Linked DNA regions of Oryctolagus cuniculus. The protein of the gene in region 3 interacts with the protein of the main gene of each other region in a biochemical or structural test. Links are inferred from orthologs where the notes say so. Each region holds a gene or a part of one and is shown on either strand. Other genes may lie near its edges.

Region 1 (3,500 bases), on a different chromosome or scaffold from region 3:
CTTTGTGCATTATATCTGATCTGTATTGTGGAATGGAAGAACAGAATGACGTACTTTTCTCTGGACTGCAGAATCAAAACTTTTGAGGATGATCTTCCATTTTTTCCCCCTCATTCTTGAGGTGGGCGCTGATAACCTAGTGGATAATGGTTTGGGAGAAGACTTAGTTAATAGGATGGTAGCAGGTGTTTCTCCTTGGCCCCCTTCTTCTGTCCCCAAAATAAACCTCCAGAGCAGATACTATTCACCGTTAGAAAGAGTTAATGTCAGTGCAGATGATCCCATGGCATTTGAACTACACAAGGGTACTTAAAAAATGTTCCTGGAAAATGAAATTAAAAGATAAGTATATATTGGCACACGTTTTTTGAAATCTGTGTAGTTTTTTTCTCAACACATTTCCATGAGCATTTTTTTTTTTTTAAAGATTTATTTATTTGAAAGAGTTGCGCAGAGAGAAACGGAGAGTCAGAGAGAGGTCTACCATCTGCTGGTTCACTCTGCAATTGGCTGCAATGGCCGGAGCTGTGCTGATCTGAAGCCAGGAGACAGGAGCCTCCTCCAGGTCTCTCACGTGGATGCAGGGGCCCAAGGACTTTTGCCATCTTCTACTGCTTTCCCACGCCATAGCAGAGAGCTGGATAGAAGAAGAGCAGCCAGGACTCAAACCAGTGCCCATATGGGATGCTGGCATTGCAGGCGGCGGCTTCACCTGCTAAGCCACAGCACTGCTGGCCCCTCCATGAGCATTTTGAAGATTCATTGTATACAAGGATTTCAACATCTTTTGCACTGAAATAATGTTACCTTTTAATACATTTTCCATGAAATTTTTGTAGTGCCCTGCTGTAACTCTCCCCATATGTAGCTGTTCACAGCTGTCTCGGAATCAGAAAGAAACAGATAGAGGAATATCAGAGAGGGGGTGGAGTGGCAGTCACAACAGCTCTGATTGGATGTAGGCTGCTCACACAGCGTCTCCTGGTTGCTTATGGCTCATTTTCTGTTTCAGCATTTCTTACTCCCATTAAAGACAATTCTTAGCACTGTTTTTTAAAGGGGGGGTGGTGTCTAATTATGTTCTAGAACATTTTGAAAATGGTGTATAACTTACAACTGCTAATAATCAAAATGCACATTTAGTGTCATTTATGTTTTGTTTTTAATTCTATTTTTTATTTTTGCTCACAATAAATTTTGCATGAAGCTTAAAGTATTTCTGGCTTGTAAAAGTTACTGATATAGTAAGTAAAAAGTTGTAATTTTTCTCCTGCCTCCTTTTACTTTTTATTTATTTTTTATTGCAGAAATGAGCCGTCAGACTGCTACTGCATTACCGACTGGTACCTCGAAGTGCCCGCCGTCGCAGAGGGTGCCTGCCCTGACGGGCACGACCGCGTCCAACAATGACTTGGCGAGTCTTTTTGAGTGTCCGGTCTGCTTTGACTATGTGTTGCCACCCATTCTTCAGTGTCAGAGTGGCCATCTCGTTTGTAGCAACTGTCGCCCAAAGCTCACATGTTGTCCAACTTGCCGGGGCCCACTGGGATCCATTCGCAACTTGGCTATGGAGAAGGTGGCCAATTCAGTACTTTTCCCTTGTAAATATGCCTCGTCTGGATGTGAAATAACTCTGCCACACACAGAGAAAGCAGACCACGAAGAGCTGTGTGAGTTTAGGCCGTACTCCTGTCCGTGCCCTGGTGCTTCCTGTAAATGGCAGGGCTCTCTGGACGCTGTAATGCCCCATCTGATGCATCAGCACAAGTCCATTACAACCCTTCAGGGAGAGGATATAGTTTTCCTTGCTACAGACATTAACCTTCCTGGTGCTGTTGACTGGGTGATGATGCAGTCCTGTTTCGGCTTTCACTTCATGTTAGTCTTGGAGAAACAGGAAAAATATGATGGTCACCAGCAGTTCTTTGCAATTGTACAGCTGATAGGAACACGCAAGCAAGCTGAAAATTTTGCTTATCGACTTGAGCTAAATGGGCACAGGCGACGATTGACTTGGGAGGCGACTCCTCGGTCTATTCATGAGGGAATTGCGACAGCCATCATGAACAGTGACTGCCTAGTCTTCGACACCAGCATCGCACAGCTCTTCGCAGAAAATGGCAACTTAGGCATCAATGTAACGATTTCCATGTGTTGAAATGGCAATCAAGAGTTTTCTGGCCAGTGTTTAAAACTGTTGCATTCAGTTTCACAGAGAGCAAGGCACCCGACTGCCTGCCAACCTGAAACTCTTTGGGCAGGTGGAAACTAGACACATGAAGGTAAATAAAAAGAAAGGCTGTTAAATACAGGAAACAGTTGCATGTAGTAACACTAATATATTTAAAAATAAGTCAACAGTAAACCACTGAAAAATATATATATATACACCCAAGATGGGCATCTTTTGTATTAAGAAAGGAAGCATTGTAAAATAATTCTGAATTTTGTGTTTGTTGTAGATTGATTGTATTGTTGAAAAATACTGGTTTTTGTTTTGTTGTTCTGTTTCTTCTGTTATTGCGTGTGTCTGTGTGTGTGTGTGTGTGTGTGTGTGTTTCCCTAACTGACAAGCCATCTGAGTGGTCTTGGACCACTGCTTTTTCCCCTTTGTGAGTCAATACATAGTGCTGCTGTGTTTCCTTGTGTGTGTATATTTGCTAATTTTTATTAATTCTAGTTTTTCATTAAATAAACTTTCTTTTCTGTAATTCAGGTTTTCCTCACTTTTTTGGGTACCTTTTAAAGTCAGTGTCTTCCTGCCCTGATAACTGTTTATGGTGAAGTTTGTGTTCGGGGTACGTTCTCGTTCCCCATTCGTCAGTTTAGCAGACACATTTCATCAGCTGCTTGGTGAAGACAGGCGTTCCCAGAGGAAAGGGAACATTGGGAAACCCGTCAGAAGCCACCCAAGCAGCCACGAGATGGTCTTCTCTCTCCTTTTCGCACTCACTACTTCGTCTCCATTTGAGTCCTATATACAAGTTAGGGAATGCATTCTGATTCATATAAATACTGAAAATCAGGCTTTTTTTTTTCTTTTCCAAATATTGTAGACAAATCACATGATCACATGTTCAAAATTTGTTCTTGTATTTATTGGTTTTGCAAAAAGAAGGCATCGTCACATACAGTGTTTGTAATTAAAGTAAATCATTTGTTTAAAAAAGACAGTTTGCAAAAAATATGTTTTTGGTCTTTTATAATTCTCATTAAAAGAATATCTGGCAAACGGAAAACTCTTAATGTGTCTGCTTTAGCTGTAAGATTGGTAAGGCCCGGGCGCGCTGCCGCCCTGCCCCGCTGCCGTCCTGCCCCGCCCCACCTCAGGCAGGCAGCGTGATGCAGCCGGCGCTCAGCCGCGTGGCCTCCAGACACAGCCATACTTTCTCACCCTCCCCTGCACGCTGCCTGCTTCTTGTGCCTCCGTAAGAACAGCCACCACTTAAAATACTCCCTTTCTCCCCTTTAGGGAACAAAAGTGCGTTTAGTATTTCATA
Region 2 (4,080 bases), on a different chromosome or scaffold from region 3:
CATCGTTTTAAAAAGGAAGACAAAAGCTCCACTTCATCAAATTTAATACAGAAAAGATATTCACAATAGAATTAGGCAGTATAAAATAAATCTAAGATTTTAATAAATGCTCTCATTATTGAATACTGCATGTTAAATTTATTTCTGACAATAACCTCAAAAGAATAAAATTAAAACTTTGCTTGGGGTCGGCACTGTGGCGCAGCAGGTTAAAGCCCTGGCCCGCAGCATCAGCATCCATATGGGTGCCAGGTTGAGTCCCAGGTGCTCCACTTCTGATCCAGCTCTCTGCTGTGGCCTGGGAAAGCAGTAGAAGATGGCCCAAGTCCTTGGGGCACTGCACCCATGTGGGAGACTTGGAAGAGGCTCCTGGCTCCTGGCTTCAGATCAGCTTAGCTCTGGCCATTGTGGTCATCTGGGGAGTGAACCAGCAGATGGAAGACCTCTCTCTCTCTCTCTGGCTCTACCTCTCTCTGTAACTCTGTCTTTCAAATAAAGTAAATCTTTAAAAAAAAAAAAAAAAACTTTCTTAGTTCATTCACACTTATACTTCTGACCCATCACTAAACAAGGTAACTTGCTCATGTTGTTACTATAGGTTTTTTTTTTTTTTTCAAAAACCATTAGCATAATTCCATTTAGTAAGCCAACCACAGGTCCAAAAATTATTCAGGTATCAACTTAGTAGATAGTCTTTCCTCAGTATCTATGAACAGTTATTGAAGAGAACAGTGTAAGAAATTAAATCCTAGATGGGGGGTGGTAAATTTCATACTTCACAAGAAAATTTCAACTTATTACATGTAAATCGAATTTGAACAAACCAGATCATACTTTAAAAGGACTATAAGAAAGCTTAGGAAACAAAAGAAACTTTGCAATTAATTTTAAAATGTAAATAATTTTGCAATATCAGATTTTGTTTTTCCTAACAATAAAAACCCTGCCATTATCAACTTGGTCACTAAACAAGACAGCATTTTACAAAGCATTAGCATTATAAATGTCAACTTTCACTTTCTGATGAATTTCTTCTTTCATCAAAAAGGACTATCTTATTGCACAGTTCAGAATATTTTACATGTTAAAATAAAAATGAACATGCTAAAAATGCTTCTAATATATCAAATTCTGTAACAAATTCTGCATCACATTTTGGTACTTTTTTTCAGATTATAAAGCAAACAAGGTAACAGAAATGTAAACGATACTCCAATTATGGAATTAAACTTCAAGTCAATTCACAAATAATCTTCAGGTATTCTCTATTTATCAAAAGCACAATTCAATAAATAAAATCTCACCCATACAACATGCCTAATAATGAGGGCTCCTCTGTATCTCAGATATGCTGCTCTATATATTCAGAATAACTTAATTACTACATAAAGGTCAGCTGAATCAACAAGCAATAATAATGACTAAGTTGTGGGCAGAAATGTGTCACTTGCTGTTATATAAAACCAACATTAGGTGAGAAAACATAAGTGCCTACTAATAAGCAAAAGGTCAAAAGAACTTCAGATATTATCTAGTTCAACAATTCTCAGCCCTGGTTGTACATCAAAGTCACTCTGGGACTGAAATATGTGTAGAAACGCCAACCTAATAACCGCAGAAGTGCGCCATTCCTCCACAAAAGGCCTCGGTGACCCTGACATGCAGTCAGGAACGAGAATTACTAATTGCTTATAGTATTACCAATTGCTTATAGTATTACCAATTGCTTATAACATTGACAATCCCGAAGGTTGGCATGAACCATTCAGATCAGTTCTCTCTGTCAAATCCTCCGATATTTTCAGAGCACAGGGAAAATGAGTGCCATGTGTTTCAACTGACTTTTCGGTAAGTGCATTTTTGGAGCATTATACATGGTAGCATCCCAACCTTCCAGCATAGGGCCATTCAGGCACCCCAGAGTTAAGATTCAACTGTACTGCCATTGGAGACTTCTCAACCATGTCGACAGGCTGTACGGCTAAGCGGGAAAGGCGCAGCTCACCAGTAACAGACGTCTAATCACAGAAGCTGCGCCGTAGTGGACGCCGCAGGCGTTAAAGTCGCACACCATGTTAACCGAAACCTGGGTTTCCTTCCTGCAAAACGAGAGCTAGCATCCACCTCATGAGTAGATGCCAACCAGCTAAAACCCCTAACACAGTACCTGGAGGCTATAATGGCTCAATTCTACAAAACCAAGCGAGTTAACGCCTCCTAGGCTCAACTAAGATAGAGGGGCTACAGAAAGAGCGGTCCGGGCCACTCCCACAGGCCCACAGCTCCCTCTCACAAACGTCCCCGCTGTGCATGCTGGCATCTGCAGGATTAGACCCGGCAACTTCGGGCCCGGGGATCCAGGTCGCGGACGGAGGGACGCCAAGACCTGCCTGCCAGGCACACAGGGACGCCGCGGCCGCGCCTGGGCCCCAGGGATGCCGCCCAAGTCTCCCGGATGAGCCGGAGGACGGCCGAAGCGGGGAGCGCAGTCCGCAGAGTCCCTCACCTTCACCACGGCCGTCCCCCGGCTGCCTTGCCGGCCACTGTCCGGCCCAGCTCCAGGCTTGTTTACCACCAGAGCAGCCATCCCGGGCAGAGCAGCGGCGCAGGAGCAGCCCTCGGAGCCTTCACCTGGGAGGCGGGGTCGAGCCACCTACCCAGAGGCCTCCGCGCACGCCGCTGGCGCACAGGCCCAGTACGACGCGGCCCCGCCTCCCGTCAGCGGCTCCGCCTCCCGTCAGCCTCGGCTGGGTTGGAGGCACAGTCCTGCTCGTGTTGTTTTTGTTCCTAAGAAGCCTGCAACTGCTGAAAGAAAAAAGTCAAAGGAAAAAAATGGATAACACATAATTAAAGTTTAAAGGTGAAATTCCCGGCCCGGTTATGAGTTCGGCTCTCTAATGGCAAACTAGCCAAGGCGGATACTACATCTCCCTTCATGCAACGCGACTTTTGCTTGCACTACAAATCCCGGCATGCCACGTTCTCGCCCTTTTTTTAATCTCTAAGAGGCCGCGTATCGTTACAGTGGTTGCTTCCAGTCGCAATGTGTGATCGTAGACGGAAAACGCCGTATTTTCTGTGCAGATCTCCAAGAGCCAAAGGATGGCTTTGGTGAAAAGAAGCCGTTGGGTCCGTAAAGGACGCAGTGAAAGGAGAATTTAAGGTACAAAGAAGCTGTTGGGAGGACGTTTGACGCCTGTTCTGCCCGACGTACGCTTTTTTTCCCTTCCGGGCCAAGTTGAACCTCTTCAGCCCCCGTAGGCCTGGAGTCAGACGTGCCGGTCAAAATGGAAGTGAATCCCCCCAAACAGGAGCACCTGCTGGCGCTGAAAGGTAAATGTGTGCCGAGGTACCGTTGTTCTGTCTTATTCCCTTCTCTCGCAGTTTCCCGAAGGCCGTTGCCACACAGACGCGACCTCTGTGACAGGGGCCAGGCCTCAAAACACTCGGTGCCCGCCGCCCCGCGCTGCGTCCGGCGCGAGCAGGAGGAGGCGACTTGGCCTCTTCGCGTTTCGCTTTCAGAGCTGCTTTCTGGAACGAAACAGACACCTGGTCGTTCTCCCTGACCTGTGCTGCTGCAGTCACCAGATGTTTGGATGCAGAGCCGAGGCCGCGCCCCTACTGGGGAGACCTCTGCGAACCGGGGTGCATTAAAGCAAACATCCGAAATGGCTTTTCCTTCCGTCTCTCGTCTCTTAGTGGGCACTGGGAAGTTACCAGGTTTCAGGTTTATCTGGGGTGTTAGCACTGCGTAGCAACTGTGCGAAGGATTTAGCAATACATAGCCCTGCCACGCGTAACGTAGATTTGTTAAAATGTACGGCTGACCGTCACCGCATTGGGTTCCTAATCTTAACCGCAGATCGCAAATATTTGAGTCAGATTATGTCTGTGCTGAAGGTGTGCAAGCTTTTCCTCCTATCAGTATTTTCTGAACCGGTATAACCACAGTGTACTGCAAAGTACCTGCCGCCCACGTGGGAGACGCGGCGAAGTCCGGCGTCCTGGCCTCAGCTCTGGTCCAGCCCTACCTGTTAGGGACATTTGGGGAATAAAGTAGCAGATGGAGGCGCTCTTCCT
Region 3 (3,572 bases):
AGTCAGACCAGGAGAGATATTCTATCTGCTGGTTCACGTTCCAGATGCCCACAGCATTCAGCGTTGGGTGAGGCCAAAGTCAAGAGCCTTGAACTCAGTCTGGGACCAACTCCTTGAGCCATCACCAGTGCTTCCTAAGGTGTGCATTAACAGGTTTCTGGAATTGAAAGTGGAGCTGTAACTCCAAACCAGACACTCTGATATGAACACAGGTGTCTGAAGTGGGGACTTAACCATTGAGTTTAATAATACTTTTAATCTTCTACCTGAAGTAGATTTTTTTCAGTTATTCTTCCAGTGAGTATCTGTGGTTGGTAAATTTTCTCTTTGTCTGAAAATATCTTAATTTCTTTTTTTTTTTTTCAATAGCATTTTATTCATTCATGTTAAGTCACCTGAAATGATCTGTTTTAAATGCTCATTAATGTAAATGGCTGAACAAATCCATTTCAATGGATACTCAATATCCCACATAGTTAAGTCACTTCAACACAGCCTCATGACAACTCCCACACCAAAACAGTACTTTATTTTGTAAATTTTGACCCATTATTACTCCCAAGTTATGTTTTTATCAGCTGTCAAGTGTACAAGGTGAAGATAAGTTTTAGTTAGATGGGGCTACACCTGGAAAATAAATTTCTTAAAACTCCATATACACGCTTCAAAACTGCTGGGTCCCAAGTCCATCTATGAACTCCAGGGCTGCCAGTATCACGGTGCAGCATATTAAAGCTACACTATCTGAATAGCTTATTAATTCTGCATAAATCAGGTCAAGCAATGTGTCAACCTGTAACAGACTGTGCACTCTAACTGAACATGGCAAAATATTCATTCTTTTGAACTTTACATCATCATTTGATGTCAAACAATGAAGCAAATCCCAACAGTATATACAAAAAACAGCTTTGCATTTACAAAAGATTGTTTCCTATACTGATTAATCCAGGCAGCTAACTCATTGGTTTATGCAACTTTATTGAAGAAAAATAAATCAATTACTAGCAGAGCTATTAGTTGATCACTCATCCATTGACAACTTGCATCATTTATTCAGTGCTATATTAAACAGTGTATTGGAAGATAGATTAACTAATAGCTCCAAGCCTCCTAACAATTTAAATGAAAATTACAAAATGTTTGAGACCCTATTTTGGAATACAAAGGGTGTTTGACTTTCAATTTCCATTCTCTGTAGAACAAGAACAGGTCATTCCTTTATTGACATGCATAAAATACATCACATTTTCTGTTCTGCTGATGCTATAAATTCAATACCAATTCTCCAGCCACATCAGTTATGAGCATAAAGTATATCATGTAACCTCAAATCTCTAACAGTGGAAGGCTTAAACAAGAATGGATGCTGCTAGAATAATGCTGCTTCCTTTGATGTGACAACTGAGCATCCATCTCCCTCCCTCTCAGATGATTTCTTCAGCATGTTAGAGCAGTGAGGAATGGTTTTAGTCTCATAACCAAGTTAGAGTGAAGACATTGGCCACATAATACACATGCTCCATTTTTTTAAAAAATTCTGAATCTTGGGCAACTGTTCTCTTGTAACTACTTTACAGTTTCTAAAAGCAGTTATTGTCCAAAGCTGGAAGAACTTAAGTCTTCTCAGATGAGCATGTGAATGAATGGAGGGAGGTAAACAAAAAATAAAATTAAAAAAGATGAGGTCTGATAGGGGAGCAGCCGGATAAGAAAATCAAAAAAGGAACAGTAATTTAAAGTTTATTCCAGCTATAATGCAGGTTATTCTGACTTTAAGGTAGCATCACATGGCATACTTCTGAGTCCATTCCCGAGATATTCTGTTGTACTTATCTCTGTCTGTTTTATAGATCCGTGCAATCTCTGGCACTAGGGGGTCATCTGGGTTTGGATCACATAGCAGTGAACAAATGGATAAAAGAACTTTAGAAATAGTTAAAGCAGGAGACCACTGTGATCTTAGAATATCGAGACAAATGCTGCCATTACTGTTAATATTTGGATGATAAATTCTTGTTGTAAATGCAACCTTAGGTGGTTTGAAGGGGTAGTCTGTAGGAAAATGAATTGTCAAAAAGAATACACCGCCTTGATATGGGCTGTCATTAGGTCCCATAATTGTGGCTTGCCAGTGAAACATATCATCCCCAACTGGACCTGCAGAACATTGTGCTGGAGGGTCACGGGCCAAATCACTAAGTTCCTTATTAATCCGTTTCAGCGCCATAGTCTGTGCTTTTAGTCTGGCTCCTCTCTCCCTCTCTCGGTGTATGCTCAGAGGTCCGGCCAAAACTCTTGATTATCCGGGCGGCGGGGAAGGATTGTCTCTTGGTCTCACGCCGGCTCTGCCAGACACAGGCGCTTGGTATGGAGGCGGCGGGTATCGCGAGAACGACGTGGACGGCTCGAAAATATCTTAATTTCATCTTCACTCTTGAATATTGGTTAAAAATGCTGTGGAGTTTTAGTTTGATAGGAATTTTATATTGAGTAAATTTCTCCAAATATTTAGCTTATCATACTACTGAATCGGTATGCTTTCTAATTGATCTTTGTCTTCCTACCTTCTGAGTCTCTTTTCATGACAATTTGTTTTTAACAGCAGTTAACTTCACAAAGGGCTCCATTGTGAGAAAGCAAAGGAAGATGGATAAATTCAGTTTCTACCTTCTCTTGCTGCAGTCATATTTCTTTCTTCTACATTCATTGTTTTCCTTTCCTGCCTGGAAGTTGGGTGCCTGTGGCAGACTTGAGATCTATATCACAACCTTATTCATTCCCTGAAAATTTGGCCAAGAATGGTGTGAGGTGGAAGCAAATAGAGCATTTCAGCTGTGAGAGAAAAATTATTGGCGTAAGGAAACAAATGTAATGAGCCAGAAACTGGATCAAGCTATACCAGCATGAGAAATAGTCACAACATCTAATGTGACCCGCAGAGATAAACAAGATTTGACAAAGGCATTTTGTATGCACCAATCAGTCTTTCAGCTTATTCAGGAATTAGGGCCTGAAATATAGAGATCTTAGAACACTCAGAATCCTTGACCAGACATAAATAATGAGTGCCCATTTACAGTGGAAGAAAATTAGTTCTATAAAACTGAGAGACTTGCCAATATTAGCTGCCAAATTAACAATATTGAGGAGCTCGATTCAGTCATTGCCAGTCTCTCCACCAGGACCAAACATCCTGACTTTTTCAGCACATGAGGGGTTATCAAAGCATTACCAAGATGTTGGCACTAAGAACCAGCCTCCTGTTAGATGCATTAACTCATACAAGTAACAAAGGAGGATTCCTTAGCCATCCTCTTCCATTTAGTTTTCCCTGAAGCAACGAAAATTCTAAAAGACAGATGAATGAGCTCTAATAGCACATTTTGTTTAGATTTATTTTCATTTCAATTCTTACATGCACCAACTACAAATCATCTCCTGCATAGGTGGTGAAATTGCTTGATTATAAGCCAGAAAGAACCAGCTTGCTGTAAGATATTTTGAAGTCCTATGACGTATCATCACCCTTCTAACAGGGATTACAATAATAGCTGGTACTTACTGAATCC
Region 4 (3,500 bases), on a different chromosome or scaffold from region 3:
GTGGGTGCAGGGGCCCAAGCACTTGGACCATCTTCTTCTGCCTTCCCAGCTGCATTATCAGGGAGCTGGTCGGAAATGAGCAGCTGGGACTTGAACTGGCGCCCATGTGGCATGTCTGCACGGCAGGTGGAGGCTTAGCTTTCTAAACTGCAGCACTGGCACGAAGACTATTATCTTGAGGTTGAGTTTTGTTGGAAAATTCTGTGCATTTTTATCTATTGATAAGATCACGGGCCAGTGCCGTGGCTCAATAGGCTAATCCTCCACCTAGCGGCGCCAGCACACCGGGTTCTAGTCCTGGTCGGGGCACCGGATTCTGTCCCGGTTGCCCCTCTTCCAGGCCCACTCTCTGCTGTGGCCCAGGAGTGCAGTGGAGGATGGCCCAAGTGCTTGGACTCTGCACCCCATGGGAGACCAGGAAAAGCACCTGGCTCCTGCCGTCGGATCAGCGCAGTGCGCCGGCTGTAGTGCACCAGCCGCGGCGGCCATTGGAGGGTGAACCAACGGCAAAGGAAGACCTTTCTCTCTGTCTCTCTCTCACTATCCACTCTGCCTGTCAAAAAAAAAAAATAATAATAAGGTCATATAATTTTCCTCTTGAAGTTTGAGGTACCAAGAGCATCAGGATTATGTGAGAGTGTTTGCTACATAGGATTCTTTATGTAAATCAGGAAATCTTTATTTCATGAAACAACTGTTTTTTTTTTCTATTCTGATCATATTGTTAGTGTTATGAGAGGTTTTTTTTTTTAGAGATTTATTTATTTGAGGGACAGAGTTACATAGAGGTGGAGGAAGGGAGGGACGGAGAGAGGGGAGGGGAGAGAGAGAGGGAGAGGGGTCTTCCATCCACTCTTCCATCCACTGGTTCACTCCCCAGATGGCCACAACAGCTGGAGCTGGGCTGGTCTGAAGCCAGGAGTCAGGAGCTTCTGTGTATCCCACACGTGTGCAGGGGCCCAAGGACTTGCCTCATCTTCCACTGCTTCCCAGGCCATAGCAGAGAGCTGGATTGGAAGTGGAGCACCTGGGACTAGAACTGGTACCCATATGGGATGCTGGCACTGCAGGTGGTGGCTTTACCTGCTACACCAGTGCCAGCCCCACTACTGAATGCTTAGTTGTACTTATGTGTATTTACTAAGGTTGATTGAATTTTTGAGTACTTGGAGAGCAATGAATATCTTGAATTATTCAGTGTTAATAGTCAGTTACACATCTGTTCTTAACTGATTTAGTCTGTCTTTTTTTTTTTTTTTTTTTTATTAAAACAGGTTCCTGACATGGCAGGCTATCCTCATATCCGTTACATTTCATCAGGATTGGATGGAACATCATTCAGAGGTCCTTTCAGGGGCAATTTTGAGGTATGTAATAAGTGAAGATATGTATCACAGTATTTTCAGTGCAGAAGAATATATATATAGATATGTTGCTAGTATTCATAATTACGTAGGACTAATACAATGACTGGGAATCATGAAGCAGTAAAATGTACCATTTTCTGATATTGCTTCTGGGGTTATAGAAAATTTGATAGGAAACATTAATCTTAGGTTAAAAAGTATTTAAAGAATAAATTAAAATATCTAAATATAAAGATATATTAAATCAGTATAAAAATAGTGAACAATATAATTTAATGTATGGGGAAAACCTTGATGCTTTTTTTTTTCTGGTTTTAATGATTTATTTATTTCGGGACAGGCATTGTGGTATATTGGGTAAAGCTTCTGCTTACAGTGCCAGCATCCCATGAGTGTTTTCAAATAAATAAATCTGCAGAATTACAAAGAGAGAGACAGATCTTCCATCCTGTGGTTCACTCCCCAAATGACCACAAGGGCTAAGGCTGCACCAGACCAAAGCGAGGAGCTCCCACATGGGTGCAGGGGCTCAAGCACTTGGGCCAACTTCCACTGCATTCCTAGGCATATTAGCAGGAAGGTGCATCAGACATGGAGTAGCCAGCATTGGAACTGGGTCCCATACAGTGTGCCAGTATTGTAGGCAGCGGCTCAACCTGCTGCACCACAAAGCCAGCCCCAAACCTTTGCCTTTGCCTGAGCTTAATTTTTAGTGAAACATTGCTGGAGACAAAAATAGCTTAAATAATTTACTTTGTAGCTAAATATTTCAAGTCCTTGTTTCTTCATGTTAGTTTAGAAATTACAGTTGATATGATTTATGAAAATTGTTTAATTTGCTTCCCTAATTTGCTAGAATGAATGATTTCTTCTACATGTGTACAAACTTACTGATTTTGTAATACCATGTGGTAATACTTATATTGTTACCCAAATTTATAAGGATGACTTTGTGAAACTACTTCAGGTGGCTGAGCAAAAAATTTTGAAACCATCATTTGCTATACCATATATAAGAACTGTTGTGTAAACAAACTGTTACCTTGTCAAATGTAAGATTATTACTCCTGTACAGTATTGACAACATTGTTTAAAATATTATCGTCCTGGCTTTTAATCGTAGTTACCCTTCCCTTTCAGGAACTGATTCATTTGGAAGAAAGATTAGGAAATGTCAATCGTGGAGCATCCCAGGGGACAATTGAAAGATGTACATATCCCCATAAATATAAAAAGGTAAGAAATTATTCCATGAAACTTCTAGAATATTATTGAAATGTGTAACGTTCAGTATTATGGCTTTCCGTTGAACTTGTGGAACCTAGTAGATATGTTATTTATTTACTTACTTATTTTTAAAGATTTATTTATTTGAGAGGCAGAGTTACAGAGAGACAGAGAGCAGTCTTCTATCCACTGCTTCACTCCTCAAATGGCTGCAACAGCCAGAGCTGGACCAATCTGATGCCAGGAGCCAGGAGCTTCTTCCAGGTCTCCCACATGGGTGCAGCAGCTCAAGCACTTGGGCCATCTTCCACTGCTTTCCCAGCTATTAACAGAGAGCTTGATCAGAAGTGGAGCAGTCAGGATACTTACCGGCTCCTATATGGAATGCTGGCACTCTCTGTTATTACTGAAGCAAAATATACTTAGGATTAACATTTTCTTGGAAGTACAGAAATAAATTCTTCTTCCAGAATTTTTGTGCCTTCTATAATGTACACACACACACACACATATATTTCTTTTGCATTAAAACATAATACAAAGAGGATGATGTGCAGATAGTTTTGTATGTTGCCTTTGTATTCTGTCAGTACTCAGCTCACCTATATATTTTTTTTTCAAGATTTATTTACTTATTTGAAAGAGTTACAGAGAAAGGGAGAGAGAGAGATAGTCCAGGCACTTGGTTAACTCCCCAGATGGCTACAACAGCTGGGTCTGGGTGAGGCCGAAGCCATGAGCCAGGAGCCTTCTGCAGGTCTCCCATAGGGTAGCAGTGACACAAGCAGTTGGGTCATCCTCTGCTGTTTTTCCCAGGCCTGTAGCAGGGGGCTGGATCCAAAGTGGAGCAGCCAAGACTTGGACTGGCACCCCTAATGGGATGCTGGCACTGCAGGCCACAGCTTT
Region 5 (3,500 bases), on a different chromosome or scaffold from region 3:
ATCTCATAGCTACTGAATGGCAGAGCTGGAGTTCAAACTCAGGTCTCTGACTCCAGAGCTGCCTCCTGGAGGACACTGAGCGCGTCAGGTGCAGATAACAGATTCTAGGCCTGGGTACCTAAGAGCATGACAACGATTAAAATAAGCAGCCCCCCACAATTGATTGGAAATAAATTATTGACTATCTGCTGTGTGTCAGGCATTGCCTGGGTTAGGAAGCTGAGATACTTAAAAGGGAGCTTGCAGTAGAACAGGGAAACTGGGGCAATATACACCATCCTATGAGAAAAGAAAATGTAGCAAGAAGAGCTTTGTGGAGGTAAGAAAACTTGCAATTTGAATAGTGAGGGATGGCTACTGCTTCAGTATTTCCTTGTTAGAAAAGTACGAATTAATTTTGAGCACTCCACAATGAATGTTGTGAATGCTAAGGATGTTTTCACATATGAGGATTTTTCATTTGTAATTTCATGCTCAAGTGGATCAGCCTTCTTATCTTAAGGGTTTGGCATTTAACATTTAACAGCCAGAGGCTTTTAAAATGTCTTTTCTGGAAGTGGTTGAACTGAAACGATTACATGATCCCACTGTCTTTTTCTTTTTTTCATTATGGTCAGTATTTTCTGAATGCTCATTGAGTGTAAACCACAGATAACATTAAGGACTTTGTAGAGAGAACATAAGTAAGGTATGTCCCCTGTGTTCCCTGAATTTCCAGGCTTGGAGAGAAATGGCAAGCTGTCGTTTTGCCCCAAGCCAATATGCCATCTGAATTGAGCTCTTCCCCCGTGGTTTAGCAGGGATCTTGGCACCCAGCTTCTTGAGTTGGCCCAGCTTGTGAAGGGAGGAGAGGTTGTGCTTGGAAACATGGAAGTAACACTCAAATCTCAGAGTGGAAAGAGGCGTGGCTTTAGGTATTGGCAAAGCTCAGAGCTGAGACAAAAAGGAAAGGGAATGAAAGGCGATCATGTTACCTTTTTGTGAGTATTCACTGTGTGCTAAAGTTTTATAATTCTTTATCTCATGTCAGACTTCCAGTAGTGCTTCCACTGGTGGGATGAGGAGGTGGGCCTGACCAGTGCCAGGAAATAGGGGCGAGGCGTGGGCAGGAGTTGGGGAAGGGCACAGTGGCAAAGAGAAGCAAGTCAAGCACCCCATGTGATGCCCTTGAAGGCCATGCCTGCCTGGGGTGCTGCTTCCAGATCTCCATGTTTAATGCTTGAGTATACGCTGGGCATTTCTGCAAGCACATTGCTTCCAGGAATTCATCTCTTTTATTTATGTATTTTGCATTTTAAGGATTTATTTATTTATTTGAAAGTCAGAGTTACACAGAGAGAGGAAGCGACAGAGAGAGAGAGAAAGATCTTCCACCCACTGATTCACTCCCCAAATGGCTGCAACAGTTGGGGCTGAGCTGGGCTATAGTCAGGAGTCAGGAACTTATTCTGGGTCTCCCACGTGGGTACAGGAGCTCAAACACTTGGGCTATCCTCCTCTGCTTTCCCAGACACATTAGCAGGGAGCTGGATCAGAAGTGGAGCAGCCAGGTCTCTAACTGGCACCATAGGGGATGCCAGTGTCGCAGGTACCTTACCTTCTACGCCACAGCACCAGCCCCACAAATGCATCTCTCACCCACCTTGTTATGCAGTTGGTCTGCACAATTTGCTGGAATTATACCCAGGCATTTGCTTCGCTCCTGCCCTCAGCAGTCATCTTGTCCCACCTCGTGTTGTCTCCTGCCTCTGCAGGCTGGGATTTTAGCCTGGAGCAATACCCCACTCCAGGGAGTGTTTCAGATGCCCCATTGCTACACAGTCCGGGTGAGCAGGGGTCTACAGATGCTGGGTTGCTCTTTGCATTCTGATCTCGCATTCAACAAGCTACACACATTTGAAGAAAGAACAGGGAGTTGTTTGGATCTGACTGGCTGAGCTACTCAGGCTTTATAACTCTCATGGGCTTGAGTGGTGTCCTGTGTCAGGACCACAGCTTCATGCCATTGAGGCCCCTCTGTGTCACTGTCAGTCATCCTAAACACATTTCCAAGTAGGAAAGCTTTAGATAGGAATGAACCCCCAAATGCCCCAAAACACCCTTTTTCCAGCTGCATGGCTGCTAGTCCCAGAACTGTTAATGAAGCTGTGTGTCCTTGTGAGTGGTCTCTGAACAATCCCTTGTGTGGCGTGAACTGTGTAGGGAAGGAGGCAGCTCCATAGGTGTCTCATGGCCATGCTTCCCAAGCCTTTACAGCCCTCACTGGGTGGTACACGGTATGCCCTCTTCCCTTTACTATGTGATGATGCGTAAATGTGAGTGAAATAGAACTCTCTTAACTGTGCAGACTTGGTTCAGGCTCCACTCAGCCGTGTCTGTGATCTTGACTGAGAATCTGAGTCTCTTGGGCATTCTCTAGCTTGAACAGTCTTCTATATTTAGAATGGAGGGAGCAGAAATATTTAGGTTAATCCTTAAGTCACCACAGGATGAAAAGTTTTCAACTTATTTAGAGGATTAGTGAGGGTGCCCTTAAGGATGATCCTGGCATGCTTGGGAATTACCTCTTCTGTGGGAGTGTGACCTGCACTTGGCCAGAGCAGAGCTCAGCCAGCTGTCACTCGCTCAGCCTGTGGGCCAAGAGGCCAAGGATTCGTACCCTGTGGGCTGAGCGAGCCACGTGGGTTGTCTGTGACTGCGGGAGGAGCGCCTGCCAGGCAGTACCAGCTTGCCTGCCAGGCGCTCCTGTCGCCTGACTCAGACACTCTGTACTTTCACAAGCGAGAGCACACTGATGTCCAGAGGGCCTCCAGAGCTGTCTAAATATTTGTCTTGGACAAGGTTGTATGTATCACTGAATTCCCAGTACTCTGAGTGGGCCTTTCTCGAGTAGAGAAACCTGGCACCAGCTTCGTAATCTTCCCTGTGTTACTGCCCCCATTACAGATGTGGAAACGGTCAGAGAGGCTAAGTTACGCACTGTGAAAAAGTTGGGGCAAGAAGAGTTAATAAAAAGGCAGAGCTTTTCAGTTCTAAGGAATTAACACAGCTTTAGGTCCTGTGTCAATAAAATGAAGAAAGTAAGCCTTAAATGAGCTGAGTAGAGTAGCACCGTGTGCACAGGCACACAGGGAGTCTGTGTTTGACCTGCAGAGCAGTTCGCACCCTCACCTGCTCGCCTAGGAGACAGTCAAGAGTGACTAGAGGAGATCCGCGAAGCCTGGGAACCCCAAGCTCCCGTCCATTCCCTGTCCTGTTCTGTGTGTCTGACATGCTTTCCTCTGCCCTTTGCCCTAAACAGCAGACCTGCTTGGACTGTAAGAAAAGCTTCTGCCTGACCTGTTCAAGCCAAGTGGGGAACGGGCCCCGCCTCTGCCTCCTCTGCCAGCGGTTCCGGGCCACAGCCTTTCAGCGAGAAGAGCTCATGAAGATGAAGGTGAAGGAGCTGCGGGACTACCTGAGCCTCCACGACATCTCCACGGAGATGTGCCGTGAGAAAG
Region 6 (3,500 bases), on a different chromosome or scaffold from region 3:
AACAGACAGTCCCTAAACCTTCCAAGTCGCCGGGGTGGTGCTATCGACACAGATCTGAAACGGCCCACGACACGGATGGGATGGGCAAGCCGGCTCTTCGGCTTGTGCCAGGTGCACTTCAGCAGTCATCACGCACAAGGTGGCATTCACGGGGCCCACGAAGCTGGGCAATGCTGACCCAATTTTCTCCAAGCCCAGAGTAGTCAAGGGGCTCACAACGAAACCAAACCGAACCAAATCAACCAAAAACTAACCGAATCAAACAATTCAGGCAGTCACTAAATGACTGCTAAATCAGACCACAGACTGAACTGGTAAGACCTAAGACCCCTGAAGCATTTAAACTGATGATAACTCGAAGAGTATAAGAACCGACTTTATTAACTAATGGTGACAGGATGAAAAGAATCTATCATCATCAGGAGTTCCCTGCTGTATTTTTTCCTACGAATCAGGCTGGCTAACATTTTTGGAGTCATGGTGCATTTCAGATTCAGCCACTGCGGCCTGTTTGTGAGCCTGACCTCGCGGGAAGGGCTGAGGCCCGCTTAGAAACGGGAACCCTGCCTCGGATTCTCCAGTTGAGAAGGATCTTCCCCACGATCCCAAAACCAGGCTGTAATCGACTTCAGTTCATTTCTCATGTAAACCTCATCACGCAACGCCCTCCTGACTGAAGCGGCAGATATCTGAAACGCCAAAGCGCCCCGGTGGCAGCCAGACTGTAGACGCCCAAGCGAATGTTTGCCTTCAAGATAAATGCGGCCGGCCGCGGCAGCTGCTGCCTGCGCTCAGCTCCCCGTCCACAGGAAACGCTCGCAGTGCTGCTGAATGGAGCGCGCGGGTCTGCGGGGCCACGGGCTCTGTTTTTGTTTTTTAAAGGAAAACGCATTTGCTCAAAAGCAAACCAACGTCCCGACCGTGAAACGATTTATGTAAGTGTAAACATGAGAACAACCATTTACTAGGAAAGCTCTGTAGTCCAGAATTTACGTCTCCTAATTGCCGGACTCTGTGTTCCACCACGGGGACTGCAAACTGGCACCGGCCTTATAACAGACACACGATTTTCAGCTTCTTCTATTTTCCAGTGGTATTAGAAATTTCGAGCCAAATGAGACTTGGATTGCGAACAATCCCTGCACCTGACGAGCGAGGTGCAACGTGGTCTATGCTTCTGTAACACAACTGAACCCTTGGGGAACCCTCAGGAGTGGCTTCTGACCATCTTCAAGGGTCGGTGGTCAAGTTCAGCATGGAAGGACCTGTGCTGCCAAATAACAGCTTCCAACTGTCCCGACGGTCACCCCCCGGGTGGGGGTGGGGGGTCTGAAAGCCACTCTTATACCTAATCGCCACAGAAATCTGTACCACTGTGTAAAAACCGGCATGGATCTGGACCAAGACAAAGGATGAAGCTATTTCCGAATAAGTAAGCTTAAGATTATAAAATCCTAATGGAAGAGGGAAGAAAAAAAAAAAAAAAAGAGAAATACATTTGTACCTAGCTTTGGACGGCACCTTCCAAACAGTGAGAACCAGTGATAGAACAGGGATAAAGCTCACTTGAATGACAGAAATATTTCCGAACAAAAGGCAACACAATTCTAGTTAATACTCAACCACTCACTCTGAAGATAACTCGCAAGTGAAACCCAAACCAAAAAATCCCCCAGGCATTTCATAATCACATCCTCAAACTCGCAATCACATGAAATTCGGTGGTGGTGGGGAGGGAGGAATCCAATTTGAAACGCAGGGAGCTGGTTCTTCCGGGCAGCGCCTGCGAGCCAGCAGCCACTAGCCGAGGACTGCGCCCGCATCCCGCTCCCAGCAGGAAAAGCCGCAGCGTCACCCTCGCCAGCAGGCCGGCAACTCTCTCTCTGCTCCATGTCACCCACAGGCCACAGCCGCTCCAGGGTGGACATGGCCACAGCCGGAGCAGGGGCCCTCCCAGCTTGGAAGGCGGCGAGGTCCCCCTAGGGACCCCCAGCCTCGGCCCAGGAGCCTGTCTGCTTCAACAACGCCATCTCCTCCTGGCCCACCCTGCTCCTGCTCAGTGCTCACAGGACAAAACCCAAGGCGATGAAGGACCCCAGGGCCGCCCCCTTCCCACCAGGCGCTGCAAGGGAGACCCGCCTTCCGCCTCGAGCCCTCTGCGGCGCCGCCTGCTCCTTACCCCAGAGGGCTGTGCCAGGCCGCACCGAGACATGCCGGGCCACCGACCTGTTTTTTTGGCAGATTAATTTCAAGTAATAAATTTTCAAAATTATTCTATACAGAAGCGAGAGGGAAGAAAAAAAAATAGTATGCTTTGCTTGAATTTCCAAAACAGGTTTCTCCAACTCTGAGGGCCTAGAGACAGGCCACTTTCTGGACCGCTCACTAGCCTTGCGGGCCTCTCCCGCACACTGGGCCGAATGTCATGGTCCCGGCCTGCCAGAACTCGAGCCCTGGCCGCGCACTTACCACGGCCCCGGCGGGACCAGGGCTTTCAGCGGGGTCCTCCGTGGCAGTGGCCGGCGCCTCCTCGGGCTCCCGGGTGACCAGAATCCGGAAATGCTGCTGCCCAACGTTTGGCTCCTGCCTGATCTTAAACATGCAACCCTGGCCCTGTGCAGCCCTCTCGGCCGAGTTCGTCCTGCGGATCTCCGGGGCCATCCTGCCGGCCCGCGGCGGTGCCTCCGGTGCGGCCCGGTCTTCCGTGGGGCTCCCTCGCCCGGCCCGCGGCTGCGTAGGGTACGAGGTGCTCCTCTCCAGCCGGATGCGGGGATAGCGCACCAGCCTGTCGCCCTTCGTGCCCGTGAAGCCGAAGTTGAAGTCGCCGCCCAGCCCCGGGCTGCCCACTGGGGGCTGCTGCAGCTGGAACACGAAGCAGCGCTTCCCGGAGCTCCCAGCAGCATCCGGGACGTGCTGCAAGGACCAGCGCCTGGGCTCGGCGGCGCCATCGGGGCCCAGGGGCAGCAGCCGCACCTGGCGCACGTCCGCGCTGGATGCGCGGTGCTGGATGCGCAGGCCGGGCACGGATTCCTCCGAGCCCTCGCCGCGGCCGGGGCCCCGCACTAGGCGGCCGCAAGTGCCGTTGACCAGCGGGCCTGGGTCCCGGGCGGCTCCCGGTGGGGAGCCCCCAGACACGTCCCTCTGGGCGGGCTCCGGGGCTCCACTCGGGGCCAGGGCCCTGGCGGCCGCGGCCTGGTCCCCGTCCTCGCTGTGGCCTTCGGGGCCCTCGGGCGGCCCGCACCCGTCGGTGGCCCCATCGGCGGCCTTGCGCTGCAGGGAGATCTGCACGGACGAGCTGCGCGTGGGCCGGGCGTCGAGGCCGGTGAGCAGCTGAGGGATGAACATGGACGAGCTGCGCTTGAGAGCGCCCACGCTGTCCTGCAGGCCGCCGCCACCGGGCGCGGTGCCGTGCGGGGCGCAGGGGTGCGGGCTGCTCCTCCGCGGCAGCGTGTGGAATGCCATGAAAAAGTCCTCTTCTCTCTCCTGGTCTAGGATCTCGG
Region 7 (3,500 bases), on a different chromosome or scaffold from region 3:
CTGAGCTGGGGGAAAACAATTATTTCTCATACCTTGTGGGTGTGGAGGATTTTTAGGGAGGGTGGGTAGACTTGACAACTTCCCCATCCATCATAGGTCCTTACACCTTTAGCATCTGTGACACCTCCAACTTCTCCGATTACATCCGTGGAGGCATTGTCAGCCAGGTCAAAGTACCTAAGAAGATAAGCTTTGTGAGTGTGTTGGAGAGGGCAGTGGGCTTGGGGGCGGGGGGTGGGGGGGCTGGCTTGAGGCGTTTCCCCCTCTTCTGTTCCTCTCTTCTGGTTCCCATGCCCTGTCTCTCTCCAACAGAAATCCTTGTCAGCCTCGCTGGCAGAGCCTGACTTTGTGATGACGGACTTCGCCAAGTTTTCTCGCCCCGCTCAGCTTCACATTGGCTTCCAGGCCTTGCACAAGTTCTGTGCACAGCACAGCCGGCCACCTAGACCCCGGAACGAGGTGGGACGGTGGGTGGGGGAACCACGCCTCTACCTGTTTGCTCTTTTTCCTCCCATGGTGGCCTGACAGAGCCTCTCTCTTTTTTTTTTCTTTTGTTCCCCTGGCCCACCAGGAGGATGCAGCAGAGCTGGTGACCCTAGCACGCGCTGTGAACTCTAAAGCCTCGTCGGCAGTGCAGCAAGATAGCCTGGATGAGGACCTCATCCGGAACCTGGCCTTTGTGGCAGCCGGGGACCTGGCGCCCATCAATGCCTTCATTGGGGGCCTGGCTGCCCAGGAAGTCATGAAGGTCAGTGGGAGTGGAGAATTAGGGTCCACCACTTGGCCGTCCACCTGTGTCAGGCCCCAGTTAATCGCTGGCCACCTCCTGTCTCCTTCCCCATCCCCAGGCCTGCTCTGGAAAGTTTATGCCCATCATGCAGTGGCTGTACTTTGATGCCCTTGAGTGTCTCCCGGAGGACAAAGAATCCCTCACAGAGGACAAGTGCCTCCCGGTAAGTGAGTAGGGCCTGTGGGGAAGGCATCATTGGGGACGTTTCTGAAGAGGGCCCTCTCTCAACCTCCTCCCTTCATGCTCCTCAGCGCCAGAACCGTTATGATGGGCAGGTGGCTGTGTTTGGCTCAGACCTGCAAGAGAAGCTGGGCAGGCAGAAGTACTTCCTGGTGAGTGATCCCATTGGACACCTGCTACCTTCACCTCCCCTGGCTTCAGGCCCTATCTCTTCCAAGGCCACCTCCTGCATCCTGAGGGAAGAGGGAGGGTCTTTTGTTTCTTGTACTCATATCACATCTCTTCAAGGAAAGTTGTGTGTCCTTGTCTGCCTATCTGGTGCCTCCTTCCTCAAATGACTAGGTTTGGGGACCTGAAGATGTACTACTAGACCTTCTTCCTCTCTCCTGCTGGCTCGGGGGGACTAAGGAGTGATGGGTGGTTTTGCACTAACCTTCATCACCCTGATCAGCCTCTCTGTCTTCTTGGCTGCCTCTTAGGTGGGTGCAGGGGCTATTGGCTGTGAGCTGCTCAAGAACTTTGCCATGATTGGGCTGGGCTGTGGTGAGAACGGAGAAATAATTGTCACAGACATGGACACCATTGAGAAATCTAATCTGAACCGACAGTTTCTATTCCGGCCCTGGGATGTCACGGTGAGTACAATGGGGTCCAAGGTGTTCTTTCATCCCTCTGTCCCTCACTTTCTCTTGTCATTCATTCGAGAAACCTCCACCCTGTTTTCTTTGATCTCTTATCAGTGCTGGTTGTGACTGTGTTGAGGGCCTCTAAAACTACTCCAGGCTTGATGATTCACTGGGAGAACTCACAGGACTCGGCGTGTATACAAGCTGTGGTGGTTTTTTTTTTTTTTTAATGATTTATTTATTTATTTGAAAGGCAAAGTTACAGAGAGGCAGAGACAGAGAGGTCTTCCATCTGCTGGTTTACTGCCCAAATGGCCAAAGCCAGGAGTTTCTTCCGGGTCTCCTACATGGGTGCAAGGCCCAAGTACTTGGGCCATCTTCTACTGCTTTCCCAGGCCACAGCAGAGAGTTGGATCAGAAGTGGAACAGCCGGGACTCAAACCGGTGTCCATATAAGGTGCCGGCACTGCAGGTGGCAACTTTACCCACTATGTCACAGCGCCAGTCCCAAGGCTGTGGGTTTTTGTTTTTGTTTTTGTTTTTTTTTTTTTAAGATATATTTACGGGGCCAGTGCTGTGGTGCAGTGGGTTAACGCCCTGGCCTGAAGAGCCGGCATCCCATGTGGGCGCTGGTTCGAGACTCGGCTGCTCCACTTCTGATCCAACTCTCTGATGTGGCCTGGGAAAGCAGTAGAAGATGGCCCAAGTGCTTGGGCCCTGCACCCATGTGGGAGACCCAGAAGAAGCTTTGGCTCTCAGCTTCGGATTGGCGCAGCTCCGGCCATTGCAGCCAATTGGGGAATCGGCAGATGGAAGACCTCTCTCGCTCTCGCTCTGCCTCTCTGCTCTCTGTGTAATTCTGCCTTTCAAGTAAGTATGAAAGGCAGAATTACACAGAGAGAGGGAGAGATAGATTTTCCATTCATTGGTTCACTCCCCAGATGACTGCAGTGGGACAGGCTGAAACCAGGAGCCAGCAACTCTACCCAGGTCTCCCACGTGGGCCATCTTCTGCTGTTTTCCCAGGTGCATTAGCAGGGAGCTGGATTGGAACTGGAGCAGCCAGGACTGTAACTAGTGTTTTTATGGGATGCCAGTGGCGTCACAGGTGCTGGCTTAACACACTGTGCCACAACATGGGCCCCAAGGCTGTAATTGATTATAGTGAAAGGATACAGACCCAAATCAGCAAAGGTTAGAGGCCCATGGAATGAAGTCAGGTTCTAGTTTGTAAGAGTTGTCTCCTAGTGGAGTTGCACAGGACATGCTTAGTTTCTCCATTCAGGGATTTGTGAGAAGCTTATTAGATACCTAGTACTCAGGGATTTTACTGGAGGCTGGTCCTATAGCAAAATTCCAGATTCCCGGAGGGAATGAACCACATTGTTTGGGGGCACAGTTGAGGCTCATTGGACCATCGTGACCTGGTAGAGAATCATGGGCACCTTGCAGACATCCAGGGTCCCAGACCGCAGCCAAGGACTAACCTTTCTAAGGACTGTGGTTTAAATCAGTTGGGTTCACAGATCTTGGCACAGGTGGAAACTGGGTTATACAGGGATCTCTGGGAGGCCTTCCACAGGACTGTCATTTTTGCTTGCCCAGAATCTAGTTCCCTTTTCATTCATTCACCAAATAGTTAGGTATAGGTGCTGCTCTAGGCCCTCGGGGTACACCAAGGAAGAAGTAGATATGTACAGTACATACAGTATCATAGTGAGGTCTGTGGTTAGGTGGTAATGAATGCTCTGCAAAGGAAAAAGGGAAAAGAAGGAAAGCTGGGTGTGCCAAGGAAGTTGGTTTGCAGTTTTGAGTACAGTGGTTAAGGAAGACCTCCTTTCTGCAAAGACTTAGATGTGAAGGACTAGAGCGCCCTCTTCTGGGGAAGAGTGCTGCAGGCCAAG

Evidence for each region.
Region 1: the proteins of ubiquitin-conjugating enzyme E2 D3 (region 3) and SIAH1 form a complex in vitro, tested with the Homo sapiens proteins (3 studies listed by BioGRID). The link is inferred for Oryctolagus cuniculus from reciprocal best matches to the Homo sapiens genes UBE2D3 and SIAH1.
Region 2: the proteins of ubiquitin-conjugating enzyme E2 D3 (region 3) and TRIM23 form a complex in vitro, tested with the Homo sapiens proteins (4 studies listed by BioGRID). The link is inferred for Oryctolagus cuniculus from reciprocal best matches to the Homo sapiens genes UBE2D3 and TRIM23.
Region 4: the proteins of ubiquitin-conjugating enzyme E2 D3 (region 3) and RNF111 form a complex in vitro, tested with the Homo sapiens proteins (3 studies listed by BioGRID). The link is inferred for Oryctolagus cuniculus from reciprocal best matches to the Homo sapiens genes UBE2D3 and RNF111.
Region 5: the proteins of ubiquitin-conjugating enzyme E2 D3 (region 3) and RFFL form a complex in vitro, tested with the Homo sapiens proteins (5 studies listed by BioGRID). The link is inferred for Oryctolagus cuniculus from reciprocal best matches to the Homo sapiens genes UBE2D3 and RFFL.
Region 6: the proteins of ubiquitin-conjugating enzyme E2 D3 (region 3) and NEDD4L form a complex in vitro, tested with the Homo sapiens proteins (7 studies listed by BioGRID). The link is inferred for Oryctolagus cuniculus from reciprocal best matches to the Homo sapiens genes UBE2D3 and NEDD4L.
Region 7: of the proteins of ubiquitin-conjugating enzyme E2 D3 (region 3) and UBA1, one has a biochemical effect on the other in vitro, tested with the Homo sapiens proteins (10 studies listed by BioGRID, with this or other methods). The link is inferred for Oryctolagus cuniculus from reciprocal best matches to the Homo sapiens genes UBE2D3 and UBA1.

Annotation. Positions count from the first base shown.
Region 1 is NC_091449.1:32,098,063-32,101,562, reverse strand, and holds the end of SIAH1 (E3 ubiquitin-protein ligase SIAH1), read left to right. Parts: intron 1-1,307; coding exon 1,308-2,158; 3' UTR 2,159-3,239; downstream 3,240-3,500. UniProt on the Homo sapiens protein: E3 ubiquitin-protein ligase that mediates ubiquitination and subsequent proteasomal degradation of target proteins.
Region 2 is NC_091445.1:86,572,744-86,576,823, forward strand, and holds the start of TRIM23 (E3 ubiquitin-protein ligase TRIM23), read right to left. Parts: upstream 2,801-4,080; 5' UTR 2,588-2,800; coding exon 2,507-2,587; exon of another isoform or gene 2,075-2,506; coding exon of another isoform or gene 2,006-2,074; intron 1-2,005. Other genes in the region: TRAPPC13 (trafficking protein particle complex subunit 13), read left to right, coding at 3,288-3,333.
Region 3 is NC_091438.1:28,033,138-28,036,709, forward strand, and holds ubiquitin-conjugating enzyme E2 D3, read right to left. Parts: upstream 2,404-3,572; 5' UTR 2,231-2,403; coding exon 1,787-2,230; 3' UTR 501-1,786; downstream 1-500. UniProt on the Homo sapiens protein: Accepts ubiquitin from the E1 complex and catalyzes its covalent attachment to other proteins. In vitro catalyzes 'Lys-11'-, as well as 'Lys-48'-linked polyubiquitination.
Region 4 is NC_091443.1:81,954,437-81,957,936, forward strand, and holds part of RNF111 (E3 ubiquitin-protein ligase Arkadia), read left to right. Parts: intron 1-1,274; coding exon 1,275-1,367; intron 1,368-2,507; coding exon 2,508-2,603; intron 2,604-3,500. UniProt on the Homo sapiens protein: E3 ubiquitin-protein ligase. Required for mesoderm patterning during embryonic development. Acts as an enhancer of the transcriptional responses of the SMAD2/SMAD3 effectors, which are activated downstream of BMP.
Region 5 is NC_091448.1:39,258,572-39,262,071, forward strand, and holds part of RFFL (E3 ubiquitin-protein ligase rififylin), read left to right. Parts: intron 1-3,301; coding exon 3,302-3,500.
Region 6 is NC_091441.1:20,107,563-20,111,062, forward strand, and holds part of NEDD4L (E3 ubiquitin-protein ligase NEDD4-like), read right to left. Parts: coding exon 2,470-3,500; intron 1-2,469. UniProt on the Homo sapiens protein: E3 ubiquitin-protein ligase that mediates the polyubiquitination of lysine and cysteine residues on target proteins and is thereby implicated in the regulation of various signaling pathways including autophagy, innate immunity or DNA repair.
Region 7 is NC_091453.1:32,736,062-32,739,561, forward strand, and holds part of UBA1 (ubiquitin-like modifier-activating enzyme 1), read left to right. Parts: intron 1-96; coding exon 97-194; intron 195-312; coding exon 313-459; intron 460-571; coding exon 572-748; intron 749-848; coding exon 849-953; intron 954-1,041; coding exon 1,042-1,122; intron 1,123-1,449; coding exon 1,450-1,605; intron 1,606-3,500. UniProt on the Homo sapiens protein: Catalyzes the first step in ubiquitin conjugation to mark cellular proteins for degradation through the ubiquitin-proteasome system.